4 linked regions of the Drosophila melanogaster genome follow. The protein of the gene in region 4 purifies or fractionates together with the protein of the main gene of each other region. This does not show direct contact. Each region holds a gene or a part of one and is shown on either strand. Other genes may lie near its edges. The genes, in order: sel, ergic53, yellow-f and CG11911.

Region 1 (3,524 bases), on a different chromosome or scaffold from region 4:
TCAGGAAATTTTTCGAAAAGCCAGTAACTTTCATTCGTTCGCTAGAAATCTGGGAGTAACTTCTCACTCGCAAGCAATCAAATAATTTCTTATTCCCGTCTCAACAAACGGATTAAAATTTACTCATGTGGCCCACACTTCGTAAACCCATTGGCAAGTTTAGCGGGCCGCTGATGCGTTATGGGAGTGGATATCCAGGCGGCTCTCCTGGGGCGGTAGTTAATCCAAGGTCAACACGCAGCTAACCATTCTAAGAACTTACAATTTCCCTCACAGAACTTACCCTTTGGCTTGGATAGTCCAATGCGTTTCACACTATTTTACCTAATTGCGGGAGTCGTGGGCTTTGGGGCTCCGTTCCTAGTTATTCGCCATCAGATGCTTCGTAATGTAACCAATGATCCGTAAGTAATCCGAGTAATCCAATAAAATCGTATCGTTATTAATGTTTGCTTTACAGCAAGGATGAGTAATCCCAAAATGACATAGAACACTCGTTAATAAATTAATAAAAATACATTGCACATGGAATTTATTGTCGTACATAATTTGTAACACTTGGCATGGTTTTCTTTACATTAGCTAAACATAATTTTCGTTCGAAATATCAGTACAAAGACCTCCACTGGCGGCGATCAAGGAAATTCGTTAATTAACTAAGCTTTCACTGGGACAAACTACAGTTCCTCTTTGCCATCAAAGTCATACTCCTCCTGGACCGGCGATTCGTCGCAGTAGCTCGCTTGTTCTGAGCAGATCTTGATGTCTAAATCGTTTCCGAGCTCTTCGGCCTGGAAGGCTTTAACGAAGATCTCATCGTTGTCCTCCAGTACTTCGTTGCAGAAGTGCCCCAGGCTTTTGTTGAGATCACCATCTTGCACAAAGTCAACCAACGAGGAGTCTGGGTTCATCTGACCATTGATGATCATCTTGAGGAGTGTGAATTTCCCGTTGCTCTTGTAGGTTGCCTTCAAGTAGTCGTCCATTTTTTCGCCTTAGAACGGGAAAATATTAGGAATGATAAGCAAAGTGTTATCATTAATAGAATACCACATATAACTATCTTCATTGATAAACAATAGCTACGCTCGAAGGTAAAACTTTTGACTAACGTCAAATGTTTTAAGATTAGACTGGTCTTTATCAAGCCTCTATGCTATTCCGTACCATATGGTAATAATTACTTACAGATCTTCTCCATCAGTTCGGTAAGGAACATTTCAGATTTCACTAGGCGAACTTTCTTGCTGATCGAATTTCCCTGTGCGTCCAGCCGGAATCCACTGACATCGGCCATCTTGTGGGGGTCCTCCTTGGCAATGGCCTCCTCCAGTTCCGTAACCACGGCCTTGCACACTGTAATTTATGGAACCTCAATTATCCGGGCTCCCAGGGCCAGCCAACAAGTGCACTGCCGCCTGTTGCTGGCGCGCTGTTATGTGTGGATTCTCCTTACCGTGACACTTGACCTCGCGGGAGGTGAAGCTGTAACCTTGGGCCAAGGCCAGCAGGCCGAACAGGATAAGCGCCTTCGTCAGCATCTTTTTAATTGATTGTTTAATAGTTTAACGCGTGGAAACTAATTGCATTAACCACGTCAGCAGAAGCGCCTTCCGTTTAAAAGTGCGGCGTTGATAAAGACGTGTGCTGTATTTACGACGACTTAAGAGCGACGTGGTTCTTGATGCTCTGCAGCGATAAGTGAAGAATTCTACTTAATTTATGCCCAAGATGTGGTGACGAGGGACGCGGTCAGTGGGTCTGGGTCAGCGTTCACAAGAATTGTGGTAAACGTTTTAAAGAAACCTTATTGATAATACCCGGCTATCGATAGAACTTTTCTAGCTAACGCCAGTTTTGGCTATCAAATATTTTTAAGGTGACCATCTCTACCTATTTTAAGCTAAAAATGAAATATGTGTACTTGTCGTTAAGAGATTTAATTTGATGATTCACATAAAATGATGTCGTTTAACATTTGTAAATCGTTTGAACAAAAAAAATATCGATAGTCAAGTGCGCGCGTTAATTCAAATCTTGATCGTAGCACGATGCACGTTGAAATGTTTAAGTTTGGGGGAGAGCTGCATTATATACATATGTGCATCTCAATTCTCGTATTCTCTTAGCTCTAGATCGAAAACTTATGTACATTAGCCGATGTGCTACTATATAGTGAGCCGATAACTGAAGAGTCAGTGCAAATGGAGAATCGCTCGCGAGTGGTTGCTCTGTTTTCGGATCGAGATGTGAGGACGAGGGGTTCGCGTAATTAACCGGCAAAGCGTTTGTAAATTAAAAGAAACCCACAAGTCGGCCGCGTTCCTCGATTTCTACATACTCTTATTAACCATTATAATTGGCGTTAATTAAGTGTCGTGTTTCTCTCTCGGCGCGTGTTTCTCTTCCCTATTCCCCTTGTTCGCTTGCACTGATGATCATTTTTCTTGGCGTCTGTTTGTTTGCTCGGTTAATTGATAAGAACGAATTGTAGTCGTCGGACTTGCCGTATTTATAGAGCAATGCCGCAAAAGAAACGGAAATGCAATGCAAATTGTTGCTATACCTTTTAGCGTAGGTTCAATTTTTTGACCCTGCCAAACGGAAAGTGGCATTCGCGGGCTACGAGATAAGCGATCGATGATAATTTATTCAGCTATGAATGAGTTCGAGAAGCACCGCAATCTTAAATAGAAAACACATAGATTTAATGTGGATTTTATTTAAAAATATATAGAAAAATATATATCTCCTTATTAAAATCAAGTGCAACGGCACAAACCTTTAACACAAACACCTTTAAAGCCCTTCTTCGAACAGAGGGAATTGCACCGCTCAATGCAGGACTGTCGCCTTGGGCGGACATGTTCCTTCGCATCCTGGATAAGACTCCTTTGAAGCTCCTTTTGCAGAAGTCTATTCTCGGAATCCTTCGGAATAGATCGAACCTGCATTAAGCAAACCGCAACTAGAGTTAGCGCCAGAATAATCGTGATCTTCATGTTGTGATATGAAATCGAGAACTGTTCCAGCTCGTTCAGGTTGCATTCGTGTTTTATAGTAAATTGAAAGGCTGCCGGTTTATGATAATGAGTATTTTTGTCGTAAGAATAGAAAATATTATTGTTTCTTTTCAAAGTTATGCGGAATAAAGTATATGCGAAAGCTGTTTCCGTTTGTTGCTCAGTTAGAAACTGACTAATTATGCCGTTATATGACATTGTATGTTTGGAAACTACAGCAAAAGCTTTATGTAACCAAATTATATTAAAGTACAACGCAAACAATCGATGGGAGAAATTATACAAATTTAAAAAGAATTTCAAATTTGTATTGCTTTTTTAAGTAAAGTTTACTGAGCTTAATATTTCTTTATTAAAATCTGCCTTGAATCGCCATGAAGACCAATAACTGCTCCCGTTAAGAGCTTTTTTAAACAAAGTAAATATATACGTATATATTTGGTATATATAGATCGTGCTCCTCGGGACCTCAATTTTTTTTTTAGCTCGATTAGGTTTAGT
Region 2 (5,342 bases), on a different chromosome or scaffold from region 4:
CTTGGAAACTGGTCCTGCTCCTGCGCAGTGAAAGTATATAGGAAACGGAGCACATAGGCGAAGCTACCATCCAACCGCACACCAGAACTGTGTAACCCATTCCCCGATCCCGTAGAGAATTTATTGCATGGGCCGCGACTGCCGTTGGCTTCTGTCCATCTATCTTTGGCTGTGCTTTTCCTGGGATTTTCCCCAATGCGATGGAATGGGTACTCAGACCACAGAGGACCTGCCCACAATGCCACCATTGGCAGTTACATTTTATGGCCAAAGTTCACCAGAACCCAACTCGTTCCCCAGCCCCACGCATTCTGGCGACCAAGTGGCGCCATTTTTGCCGCATTGTCATCGATGGGAGGATGAAGATGGGGATGGGCAACTGACAGGGATTCTAGTTTATGCTTGCGAGGACTTTTCAAGAAATAAACTTTTTCCTCTGTCGACATCAGCGAAAATAATATCGCATTCGGAAAAGTATAAAAATAAAATGAGGACGCAGATTAAAACTATCAAGTTGAACAGTTGGAGATAGATTTTTCTATAAATTGATTTTTATTTTCACTTTAAACATTTCTATCGAGACTGGAATGGACAACATATATAAAAACACACTTCACTTCAATTGTTTTATAATTTATCAGTATGTATATTAAGATTATTCAGTAGAAAACTTCCTTACATCGCACCAGTGACGATGCGAACCGAACAAAAACTTAGTGAGACAGTTCATCATAATTATTAAATTAATTCACTTTCTGGCGTAATAACAAAAATGCTGGCTAACTAGCTTTGTTGACCATTTGGCGCATGAAAATGGGAAAAAAGATTTATGTTGCCAATTCAGTTTCAAGAGCCGAGCCTGATGGATTCATCTCAACTCTAAAGTATACAAGATATTACAAAAATTTGCTACGTTTACGGAATTTTCGTACTTATATAGATTTTGCCATTTTTATTTTTATTTTTTTTTAGATAGATTTTCTTGTGCTTCTTATAAATGCCTGCACACATGATATGCAGAGTTGAGAATGGAGTGAAACTTTCGACTTGACTTGCTAAAACAAATATGAAACATCTTCTGTTGGCTATTACTAAGGGAAGTTTGTCTTGTGGCTTCTTCGACGGTTTCTTCGTTTTGTATTGCGTGGCATTGTCATGAGGCATACATCATTGATCAAATTTCTTGTTCTTGCTTTGATTAAGTAACGACTTGAGTTTGTATTCGTGACCTGACTTCTTAAACAGACTTCTATTTAAAAAACAAACAGTTACACATAATGGTAGAGCATGCTACGCTGAAGTCTTAAATCTTTCATTTTAACTAAATTTAGTTGCTGCCTAGTCAGGTGTGCGAATCTGTTTCCTCGTGATTTCTGTGGGTGTATGCTTGTGTGTTTGTTATTCGTTACGATCCCAATAAGTCGCGAATTCGCCTAATAGAACTTTTTCGCCTGTGCTTCGCTGCGGTTTCTGCAAGGAATAATAAGTTAGATTGTTTAGTTTCGAATCCACGCTTAAAGATTCCATGAACTCACTTGAAGACGTTGTAGATGAAGACTAGCAGCAGTTGCACAACAGTTACGCTTAGGAACAATGTGACTCCAACGCAATTGCCCGTGGGACAATTGGCCACCTGCGCTGCTCCCTGTGGCGCTGCCAATCTGCAAGGTAAGGGAATGCATATTGAGTATCAAGGAGGTACTTAAAAGATGACAATAAAGTATAATAGTCTAAAACTCATAAACATGTTCCTCTGAATCAAACTTGTTAAAACTCTAATTTCATAATGTGGAATACGAAAAATTAGTATAAATATGGCTGAAAAGGTTAAAATTAATTCGAGCTCAGAATAACTTCGATGACAACAGCTTTAGGAAACTTAAAATAGACTTTGAGCGTATTCCTCACCTTTGGCCCACGTGGGTGATGCCCTGCTTGACCTGATTCATGCCATCGCGCATCTCGGCGATGAGCGTTTGTACATCATAGCCGGTGGATTGGATTTGTGCTGTGGGCGCATGCTTCTGATTCGTTTGAATGTTATCAGTGCGCACATTGATATCGCCAACCAGTTGACGAATCTCGCGGATGGAACTGAGCAGCATGTTCTGATTAGTGAGCAGAAGATCTACATCGCTCCTGCTGACTGCGCCAACGGGCAGCTGTTGCTGTGGCACTCCGCCGGCGGCGGGCGGAGGCAGAGCCTGTCCAGCATTACGTGAGACCAGCGACAGCGTGGTCTCCTGGCGGCCAATAATCTCATCCACTTTGCGGGAAAGTTCGCGTAGGTGATCGGCAATTTGGCTCTGACCCTGCCAGATCTGACGCAGCTCACGCTGGTTCTCCGACTCGTAGAACTCCTCCCAGTCCTCCTCGTCTTTGTGCTGTGGGATTATACGAAAGTTGATTATCAAAACTAGCGATAAGACATCTTTATCAGCTGGCTGCGTGGCAATTACCTCGTCGGGATGGTCCTTCTTGTACTCCTGCTTCTGTTTCTCCAGTTTATCTTGGTATTCCTTGTACTCTTGCGTAAGCTTCTCCTGGTTTTCCACCTTGGGCTGCTCCTGAACTTGTCCAGCGGCATGCAACGACGTGGTCAGGAAATGGAACACATCGTGGTCATCGGCCAGACCGCCCGTGGCGGCGGAAATGCCAAAGTAGCCGTTCTTGGGCAGATTGACGCCATCCGCTCTCAGACACAGCTCGTAGTCATCGTTGTTGTTGGACATTCCGTTGTGGATCATGACGGTAAGCACGTTGTTGTAGTACTCGATTCGCGCCCGTGTAGGGAAGGGCTTGTTACGGAAATCCCTGAGGCAACCGCTCAGGAGCTGAGTGGTTCCATCTTCGGCATGGTCATACAGCTTGGTGCCATCATTGAGCACGGCACTGATGTAAGGATTGTTGTGCTTGTTGTCATTATCGAAGGAATCGAACATGATGGCCAGACCATTCCAGCGGTCCGAGGATCCGAACACAGGCCCATTGTAGTCACCCTTTTCCGTGGTGTACCAGAAGGCCAATCCATCGGCTCCGATCCTGCCACGTCCCGTCACCCGGAACACGATCTCCACGTCCCACCAGTCGAAGTTCGTCTGTGACTTTGTCCAGATGGCACCCTTCTGTGAGCGCAGCGATGGCGCCACGCGCACACTTTCCGAACTGGCGATGGCATCTGAAATGAGGAGCAACAAGTTGTGGCTATAGAAACACCCGAAACCGTGGTCAAAACGACATCCAAACAAAGTGCCTGCGTGTACACTTGGCCGCCTCGCGCCATCTCGCTCGCACCCATGGCCGCAGACCAGCAGCGAGTGGGCCAAAACAACTGACGTGGAGCTGCGTCTTCCACTCGTACTCACTTCCCCCGTACTCCCAAAACGGCACGGTGCCGTCTTTCTGTGCCAAATACGGCGGCTTGAACGAGTACTTGTACTCGAAGCGACGGTGCACGCCCACGGCTCCAGGACTCAGATTGCCGGTCGCCTCGGAGCTGGGATTCCACGCCAGGAAGCACAAAATGGCCAGGAATGTGGGCCGCATCTTTGCAATTATATGTTGACAACTAGTGGTGGGTGGGCGACGATGGTGCAAACTGATGATATCGATAACCAGCCGGCACCGATAGGCGGTGGTATCGCACTGGATGTTCTAAAAGCATTGTATAATTTAAAATCAAATATTATTTTATGTATTGTCTACCATTAACAATTAAGGTAATATAATATAAATTGATTAGAACATTTATTTAGGCCATCCTTCGTATATAAATGTTGAACTTAAATAAAACCAGCCATCCTATAACAATTAACTTCAGCTTAGATCACAATTTAAAATTCTATAAGATAAAAGTTTTTCCATGCATTCTAAGAAACAAGAACCAAGTGATCTAAAAAATATTCAGGCAGCGACAATACAATCGCTATCGATTTCGGTAGATTTTATATCGATATCGCAAATGCCCACCAAATTCAAAAGATCTTGTTATCACTTTATGATGTTGAGGTGGAAAAACATTTATTTTGAAAATTTAAAGTGTTTACGTCCCGTTAGAAAATAAACATAAATATAGCAAAATACGCGCCATTCGCATGTGCTTACATAGATACATGTTTATCAATACGTTATTGTAAAATTATTTCGTTAGTTGTTTCAATTGCCTTTTGCGTGATATCACCAAAGTAGTATTACATCCATATCTCCAAAATTCCTTTAGCACAGTTAGCACAGTGTGTGTATATATGTTTACATCTTTATTCTTTGTTTCTGATTTCCTACCGTTTGTAGTTTTCGTAGAGCTTACAGCTAGAATTATTATAGGTTTTAATGCCTCGGTAGCACATAGTGTGGGCTTCATAAAATATTGTTAGTTGCTCAGTTTACACAAGTGATAGCTTTGTGTGCAGATCGGTGTGTGGGGGATAGTCATTAGGGGCGATCGTGCCGCAAGTTTCGCCATTTTACAAATGTTAGTTACTTATTTTGAATCACAATCACTTTCGTGTTAGTTCTGTGCGCGATCAAAAGAAAAACTCAAATCGATTAAAACAAAATCAAAGTCTTTGTTTTAGCTTGATTTATTACAAAATTATAATTAAACGAAGGCGCTACAGTGTAGCGAAAATCTAAATTATGCATGATGGTGCAATATAATAATCTTTTCAATTTATTACAAATACGATAATAAATTAAGCTTAAATGGGTTTTGTGTACATTTCCCGAAAGAGGAAATATGCGTTCAAGTCGTTAAGTACTGTAGAAAATCATAACAGCGGTGGACATACCTTTATTTTGGGTTTAGAATGTTAAACTCGCATAAAGTAAACGTGCGCACTCTAGACTACAAAATACAAAAAGTATATGTATGTATACATATCCTACAATATATATGTATATTTATATATAATATATCGTAATTTTTAGGTTCTCTTTCGTGTATAAGATCAGTAATTAGAGGATTGTGGGATCCAGATCCAATCCATTTTTTGTTACTTCCTTTTCTCATTTGACAGCATCACGGCATGCTTTTCAAATGTTTTCATCTAAATTCAAGATCACTTTATAACCTAGCCAATTTCAAGACATCTTACATTAAATTGGGTGTGAAATGGATTCGAACGCAGTTCAATAGCAAAATTAGGAACGAAAATAAAACGAGTTTGATGAATTGCGTCGCTTGTGTGTGGGTGTGAGGTTGTGTGTTTCATAAACTGGATAACAAATGCGTTTGATAAGCGCCAACCGGCTGTGTCTGTGGTTCTGTTTTGTCTAACTCTGTGAACTAATAATGTAAACAACAATGTAATGAAATTATACAAAAAATAATAATTCAAGAGGTT
Region 3 (4,091 bases), on a different chromosome or scaffold from region 4:
AAGGTCAATGAACGCAGCCACTATATAGTCAACTAGAACTGGTAGAAACATTTCGCTATATTACGTACTACACACTACATATATTAACTATGATCGAAACTACTTAAAGGACTTAGGTGTAGCGTTGAGGAACATATACAAAAGCAACCTATATATTTTTTGCAAAACTTTATATAAACTCGTACATATATATACAAATTGAATAGATATATATATATATATATATATAGATCTATATACACCATATGTATAGCTGACACTTTGAAGGGCTACCAAATTTACACCTCGAATTTGTTTAGATGCGGAAAAGTTATGAGAAATTTACAACATGAAATTCAAGTATTTTAGGTTAACATATACACGCGTAACCCTTACACACACAACTGTGCAACTTAGTATCCTTATGCAATATTGGAGTGCCTCTGATTTTGTTCATTGATGTTGTTTTCTTTCATGTTTTCATTTGTTTCGTGCGAAAAGACATACGCATCTGTCGTAACATATAAGATGTGATAAAAATGAGTACTCAAATTTAGGCAATTTTAAACGATACATATGTAAATGCTTTTTGATTTATTTTATTAATAAGTTTCCGTGTGTTATTTCGATAAACATATTACTTATGCGAAAAATTCATTAAAGCAATTCCACGCAAATCACTCACAAACTGTTCCCCTCTTGGCCAGCAATGTCGACTGCCTCCAGATTCGGAAATTGTACTTCTCCACATCCAGCTTGGAGTACACAAAGATGGGCATGGAGTTGGACATCACCCAAATGTATCCCTCCTCGTCGATCTAAAACAACAACGCACTTAACCTTCGTTTTCGTGTTACAAATAGAAAGGGATGAGCTTACGGTCAAATCGCTGGGATAAATCATCTCCGATGAATTGGAATAAACGGAGCCATGGTTTTCCGTTGAGAACGGCTTGCTGGTTTTCCAGCAGCCCACTCCACTCTTCTGGACCTCGGCAAAGAAAATCACCCCGGTCCGCGGATCGTATTTATGCATTGTGGACTGGGTGGACGGACCACGAGTTCCCAGAAGATGGAAGTCGTCTCCATGATCAGAACGTGCTGCATTGAATTCCTGCTGCAAGACCCTGTTGCTAACCACAAACTCATTCGTGCTGGCCATAGGATGGAAGAAGACATCCCTGCTGCCATCGGGCTTATATGATCCCAAGGTCGCCGAGAAAATCCCGTCGTCCCAGCGGAAGGTCTGCCCACCAATGTTGAGATTATCAGAAAGGGGATCAAAGTTAAAGAAGCTGTGCTCGAAGGACCAAATTCTATCGCTTCGCAGGTGATAGACGTGCAGTCTGCGATTGACCAAATCCGGAATGTAGGCATAGGCATCGTTGCACCTCCGAGCGCCCACATCGATTGTGATGCTGGCTAGTCCACGTCCGATCTCCACTATGCTCTGCGGAATCTCAAATCGTTTCAATAAGCGATCGTTAGCCAAATCGATCACCCAAATGCTAGGATGTCGAATCTGCTGGCGATTATCTGATGGTTATATAATATTATTTTAACCTGGATCACCTTGCCTATAAAGCAAATGATTATACTCACTGGGAAACTCCAGCATTCCGGTGTCGACGAACCAGAGACGCCCACAGACATCCACTGAGGTTCTATAGACAGACACTAGGTTCTGCTCGCTCGCATTATACTGATTCACCGCCAAGTTGGGATAGGCCCGTAGATGGGGACTCTGACTCCACCCATCCTTGGCCAGATCGATGTAGTTTAAGGTGGACGGAATGCCCGGCTGTCGCCGTGGCACGGTGACAAAGAGGCGTCCTCGAAAGTGGGTTACTCCTTGGGGCACGTTGTTGTATTGGATGAAGGATCCTGAGGATGAGGAGCCTAAGCACTTGCGGGAGTTGTAGAAATGCGAATCTTTGTCGAACGAATAATTGTGATATATATACATATTATTCGTTATAAAAGTGACGATAAAATGGTGATTAAAATAATATTCATATTACAACCATTTCATAATGTTTTGTGGAAAAACTTAGTGATTCACCGACATTTGCTGATGTTTGAAATTGAACATATTTCAATTGGATATTTTTGGAGTTACCTGGAATGCAGATCCTGTTCCACAAATCCTTATAGCCATCGCCGCGATTGTAAAAGTCCAACTGCTTCCACTTGAAGACCTCAATCATGGGATCTCCATCTGCAGAGATTAGCAATTGGAACCCTGAGATTGCGCACAGGAGCAGAACGTCCAGCGATAACATTTTATAAAATTCCGGTCGTTCGCCTTTCCTGGCTGAAAACCCACTTGTGACTGACTGACTCCTCAGCTTGGGTTCAACTGAGTTAAACGTGCTCTGCGACTCAAAAATGAGCTCAGAATGTAAAGTGATAAGAGCAGTCACTGGGATTCCCAAGCTCTTATTTTCCATGTCTCTTTATTCAACTTTTAAGATTTGTTGATAATCTGAAGAGTATATTTGTAAAGCTAACTATTTATTCGAAAATTTCGTCATTCTTACTTATGTATGTATTTTTAATTAAGTAACAAATTCAACAGGAATTCCACACGAATCACTCACAAACTGTGCCCCTCTTGGCCAGTGAAGCCTTCTGCTTCCAAATCCGGAAATTGTATATACTCGTGTCCAGTGTGGAGTAGATGAAGATGGGCATGGAGTTGGACATGACCCAAATGGTGCCATCCTCGTCAATCTGCAATAGTAAGATGAGATGTATAACTTTTTTTCTTCAACTTTTTTATCCAAAACCATTTGCTTACCGACAAGTCGCTGGGATAAATCATATCCTCGGCATTGGAATCCACAGAGCCATAGTTTTCCGCCGAGATGGGCTTGCTGGTCTTCCAGCAGCCCACTCCGTTGCGCTGGATCTCATCGAAGAAGATCACCCCAGTCCCAGGATCGTAAGCGTGCATCGTAGACTGGGTGGACGGACCACGGCTTCCGAGTACCCGGAAATCGTTCCCATGATCGGAACGTGCGGCGTTGGATTCCTGCTGCAGAACCCGGTTGGAGACCACAAACTCATTCGTACTGGCCATGGGATGGAAGTAGGCATCGCGGCTCCCATCCAGTTTCTGGGCCCCCAAAGTTATTGAGAAGATGCCATCGTCCCAGCGGAAGGTCTGGCCGCCAATGCTGAGATCCCCGGACAGCGGATCGAAGTTGAAGTAGTTGTGCTCGAAGGACCAGATTCTATCGTTTCGCAGGTGATAGACGTACAGGCGCCGGTACACCAGATCCGGAATATAGGCGTAGGCATCGCCACACTGACCCGCCTTCACATCCACGGTGATGCTGGCCAATCCGCGACCCGTCTCAGCTATACTCTCCGGAACATCGAAGCGCTTCAGCACCTGATCCGTGGCCAAGTCAACTACCCAAATGCTGGGACGGCGGATCTGTTGGCGGTTATCTGGATATGAGAATCATGATTGAGTTTTTTATATTCTTGGTCACCAAATTAGATTAATACGGATCGATCCTGATCTTTTATATTACATGTCAATACATGCCAACTCACTTGGATACTCCAGCATTCCCGTGTCGATAAACCAGAGACGCTGGCATGCATCCACGGAGGTTCTGTAGACGGACACCAGATTCTCCGCACTCGCGTTGAACTGATTAAGCGCAAAGTTGGGATAGGCCCGCAGCTTGGGGCTGCGATTCGATCCGTCCTCGGCCAGATCGATGTAATTCAAGGTGGATGGGATGCCCACCCGTCGACGAGGCATCGTGACAAAGAGGCGGCCGCGGAAGTGAGTGGCTCCCATGGGCACGTTATTGTACGGAATGTAGGAGGCGTTGGGGTCGTCGCTGTCGGCGCGGGAGCTGACCACTACCGGTGTATCGCGGGAGGTCATAATCTTACGCTTTCGACGAGAATACTTTCCAGGAAAGACAACCGGAGCTAGTTGAACAATAAAAAAATAGTACATAAGTAAATACCAATAAATCTATCTAACAAGGCTCGCGAGATTGCTATTGCTGAATGAGAACTAGTAATATCATATTATGAGTACTAACCTGAAAAGCTGGGCCTGTCTTTCCTTCCGCCCGAGCTTAGATG
Region 4 (3,403 bases):
TAACTTTTAAAGTTGTAAATTTTCATGCGTCATCCTTGTATTCTTTGTTGTATTAAACGTTGTTTTAGCAACATGTTGATTCTTAGAATTCGAACTTTGTAAAGCTTTTCCAATCTCTTTGTTCAATATTATTTAGCACTTTTTTAATAGCAATGATAAGGAGCTTTCAGTCCGGTTAGATTTGATTGGTCGAGTGCATGACTTTCGATACTGGATCGTCTATCAATGGCACACGCCTCCAAAAGTCTGGGCTTTTCCAGAGCTTATATTAGAAACCATAAATCAAGAGACAAATGGTGTGTTCGGGACCGTCTTTAATCCAGTTCCGATTACAGTTCGATTCAAGGGTAATCAGACACAATAAATTGTAGAAAAGCAAACAGAGACTGGACTTTCATTGCCTATAATTATTTCACAATCGATCAATCGGAGGGGTGTACAAAACTAGTTTCTTTTTGAACGTTTTTGCTTTGCGTTGAAGAGGATGGTATTTTAGAAAGAATAAACGCAAAAAAGTTACAAGACAAGTTTTAGTTGGATGCTTTTATTCAACAATCGATCATGACTCTGATCAATAGCGATTTCGATCCTGGCTAATAGATCTGACTAATAGTTTCTTCCTTTTGTTTAGAAGAGCTTGTAGTAGGCACTCTGAATATTGGTTATCCAATCAATGTAGGCCGACACCTTGGTGTAAATGGAAGGCATGTTGGCCAGTCCGCAGGGGATGTAGCCCCAGGATACGATGCCAATCAGCTCGGAGGGGGCGTTTGTGAACTCAACAACCAGGGGGCCGCCGGAGTCACCGTTGCATGCAGACTTGCTCTGTTGCAGGGAAGAGGAGCAGATGTTGGACTCAGCGATAGGAGCGCTTTCCGGCAGCTCCTCCTTGCACTCCTCGTAGTTCAAAATTTGGGTGGTCACAGTCTGCAGGGTCTTGGCGCCCGAGAAGATGTAGGACTTTGGCTGTCCCCAACCGTACAGGTGGGTCTCTCCCTCATGGACTTGTTCACGGCTGGGCAAGGTGGCGGGCTGCACCCACTCGTTGAAGATGAAAGACTCGTTCACGTGCAGCAGGGCAATGTCGTAGGGCCCAACGCCACCGGTGTACTTCTCGTGGACGCGGCCAAAGTCAACTTGGCGCTGCTGGGTCAGCTCATCCACCTCGGCACGGGTGTGGAGTCCGGCAATGATGCTCATGCCTACTGGCTCGGAAATGCAATGAGCAGCAGTCACAATCCAGTCCTTGTTAATCAAGGTGCCTCCGCAGATGTGCGAGTGCTTCAAGTAGTTGGTCGCCAGGGAAACAATGTACGGGGCGGAGTGGGGTTCTGCCTCCGTGCCGTTGATCACGAAGCCGGTCGCAAAGCTAGGCACGAGTTTGGCCAGCTTGTCGGAGAGCTTGGCTCCCTGGGCGGCGGCCACAAGGGCAATAACCAAAGTCACAGTGATCAGTTTCATTCTGCAGATTTACGGAGAATGTATACTGACTACCAACTAATGGCACCTTTTATACTTGCCCACCACTAGAGATAAGCAGATAGATTTATGAATAGTATTTGACGATTAGTTAATTTCGTCTGAATTGATTACGATTGTCCGATATGAGTACGCGTATTTAATAGTAACTTGTTCTTGAATGGGAAAAGCCCTGGAAATCTGCGCCCACGTGGGTGTGCGTAATGTGCTAACCGAGGTGTTGACACGGCAAGGTCGACCACGGCCCAGTCTCAAAGGATGCTATAAATACTGACCCCTCTCGATGGGGTTCTCCCAGCTGGCGTTCAAAGCCAATTAAGAGAGGAGGAAGAGATTTCATACCCCTGAAGTGACCGCGTGTTTGCGTAAACATTTTCAGGACAACATCCACACCATGGGACATGTGGCCCTAATGACACATGGTTGCAGCTTGTTCCGGACAGTCGGCAATTAGTGCATGCAAGGATGCACTCCGCGATCTTCATTGTGTCCTCTTACGCGCTTCAAAGGTTAATTGCAAAATTTAAATGCCACAGCACCAGGAGGTTAAAATAGTACATGTAGCCTAAGACGGAGCTTAAACTTAAATTATATTTTACATGCTACATACATACATACAATATATGCATATATGTTAGGTAATGTGGAGAAGTTGAATGTCCCACTCCATGTAATTTTTTAAAGCCACATTAAAAACGTAATCTCTTAATTCCCGGTATCAGAGGTTAGTCCAATATTTCTATAATCGAACTAGTTCTTTGAGTTACTGCTGCACTCCAGGGGTTTTCTCTCTTTCCTCTGCATGGCAAAGCTTTTTGGTCTTGTACTATAAAAGGCCAGTTGCTTTTCGGCGTCCGGTTTAGACGATTCAAATTCTCAACCGTATCAGTGATGTTATCGCCGCTTTTCCTGCTGCCCCTCTTGGCTTTGGCCGGAGCGGCTAAACTTCCGCACATTCAACACCTGACATTGAGGGATACAGAACAAGTTCACGCAGAGATCCAGCCCCTGATTATAGATGGCTACGATGTGCAGGGGGTGGACAATGTGCCCTACCTGGTGTCCCTGTCCTTGACAAGGGCCACCTATACCCACTTGTGCGGGGCATCCATCATTGGCAAACGATGGCTCCTGACGGCTGCTCATTGTGTCGATGAACTGCGCACCTTCAACGGAGATGCCGTAGGAACACCCGTTTACGCTGGAATCATCAACCGGTCGAACGTGACGGCCGCCCAAGTGCGCTACGTCGACTTCGCCTCAACGCATCGGTCTTTCAATGGAAACGCCGGAAGTGACAATATAGCCTTGCTCCACGTCTCTGAGAGCTTCGAGTACAACGCTCGAGTTCAGCAGATCGCCCTGCCCGACATCAATGATGATTACAGCAATAAGACAGCTGCTGCTTATGGCTGGGGACTCACCGACCCCGATGGCGACGAGTACTCCAAAGAGTTGCAGTATGCCTTCGCTCCCCTACTCAATAGCACGGGTTGCAAGGAGTTGCTGCCCGCAGACGCTCCTCTGACGGCGCAGCAGGTGTGCTCTCAGGTAAAGACCTGCTACGGAGACGGAGGCACTCCCCTGATCTACTGGCCCATCACTGGACCGGCGGAGTTGGTGGGCCTCGGATCCTGGAGCTATATGCCGTGCGGATATGCCAATCGGCCAACGGTGTACACCTCTGTACCCCCTTACATTGGATGGATCCACCAAACGATCGGCGCCTACTACCAGCTTAACTGAGAGTCGTGGTGTCGAAGGGGAGATCTTTGCGTAATACTCTAGCAGTACATTAAAGTAAACACCGCGCGTTTTCGTATCTTATCACAGAGCTCGTTAACGTGAATAGAAAACCTTGTTTTATTGCTCGATAAGTGGACGGCTGATTGCCTGAAATCGAACTACTATTTATAATTGCCGA

The links.
Region 1: the proteins of CG11911 (region 4) and sel purify together in Drosophila melanogaster (affinity purification with mass spectrometry, with the first as the bait; one large-scale study listed by BioGRID). This does not show direct contact.
Region 2: the proteins of CG11911 (region 4) and ergic53 purify together in Drosophila melanogaster (affinity purification with mass spectrometry, with the first as the bait; one large-scale study listed by BioGRID). This does not show direct contact.
Region 3: the proteins of CG11911 (region 4) and yellow-f purify together in Drosophila melanogaster (affinity purification with mass spectrometry, with the first as the bait; one large-scale study listed by BioGRID). This does not show direct contact.

The regions. Positions count from the first base shown.
Region 1 is NT_033778.4:10,050,346-10,053,869, forward strand, and holds sel (seele), read right to left. Parts: upstream 1,823-3,524; 5' UTR 1,542-1,822; coding exon 1,457-1,541; intron 1,357-1,456; coding exon 1,189-1,356; intron 995-1,188; coding exon 678-994; 3' UTR 517-677; downstream 1-516. Other genes in the region: COX7CL (cytochrome c oxidase subunit 7C-like), read left to right, coding at 126-215, 277-404, 461-473. UniProt on the Drosophila melanogaster protein: Involved in embryonic dorsal-ventral patterning which is generated by a series of serine protease processing events where gd processes snk which cleaves ea which then processes spz into the activating ligand for the Toll receptor.
Region 2 is NT_037436.4:8,533,210-8,538,551, reverse strand, and holds ergic53 (ergic53), read right to left. Parts: upstream 3,576-5,342; 5' UTR 3,547-3,575; coding exon 3,366-3,546; intron 3,179-3,365; coding exon 2,460-3,178; intron 2,385-2,459; coding exon 1,909-2,384; intron 1,662-1,908; coding exon 1,536-1,661; intron 1,471-1,535; coding exon 1,434-1,470; 3' UTR 539-1,433; downstream 1-538.
Region 3 is NT_033777.3:12,990,886-12,994,976, forward strand, and holds yellow-f (yellow-f), read right to left. Parts: upstream 2,317-4,091; 5' UTR 2,261-2,316; coding exon 2,098-2,260; intron 1,911-2,097; coding exon 1,581-1,910; intron 1,515-1,580; coding exon 859-1,514; intron 798-858; coding exon 657-797; 3' UTR 564-656; downstream 1-563. Other genes in the region: yellow-f2, read right to left, coding at 2,571-2,711, 2,779-3,434, 3,543-3,932, 4,049-4,091. UniProt on the Drosophila melanogaster protein: Tautomerization of L-dopachrome with decarboxylation to give 5,6-dihydroxyindole (DHI). Also catalyzes the tautomerization of the methyl ester of L-dopachrome and dopamine chrome. May play a role in melanization reactions during late pupal and adult stages.
Region 4 is NT_033779.5:319,761-323,163, forward strand, and holds CG11911 (uncharacterized protein), read right to left. Parts: upstream 1,489-3,403; 5' UTR 1,462-1,488; coding exon 628-1,461; 3' UTR 519-627; downstream 1-518. Other genes in the region: CG33127 (uncharacterized protein), read left to right, coding at 2,371-3,225.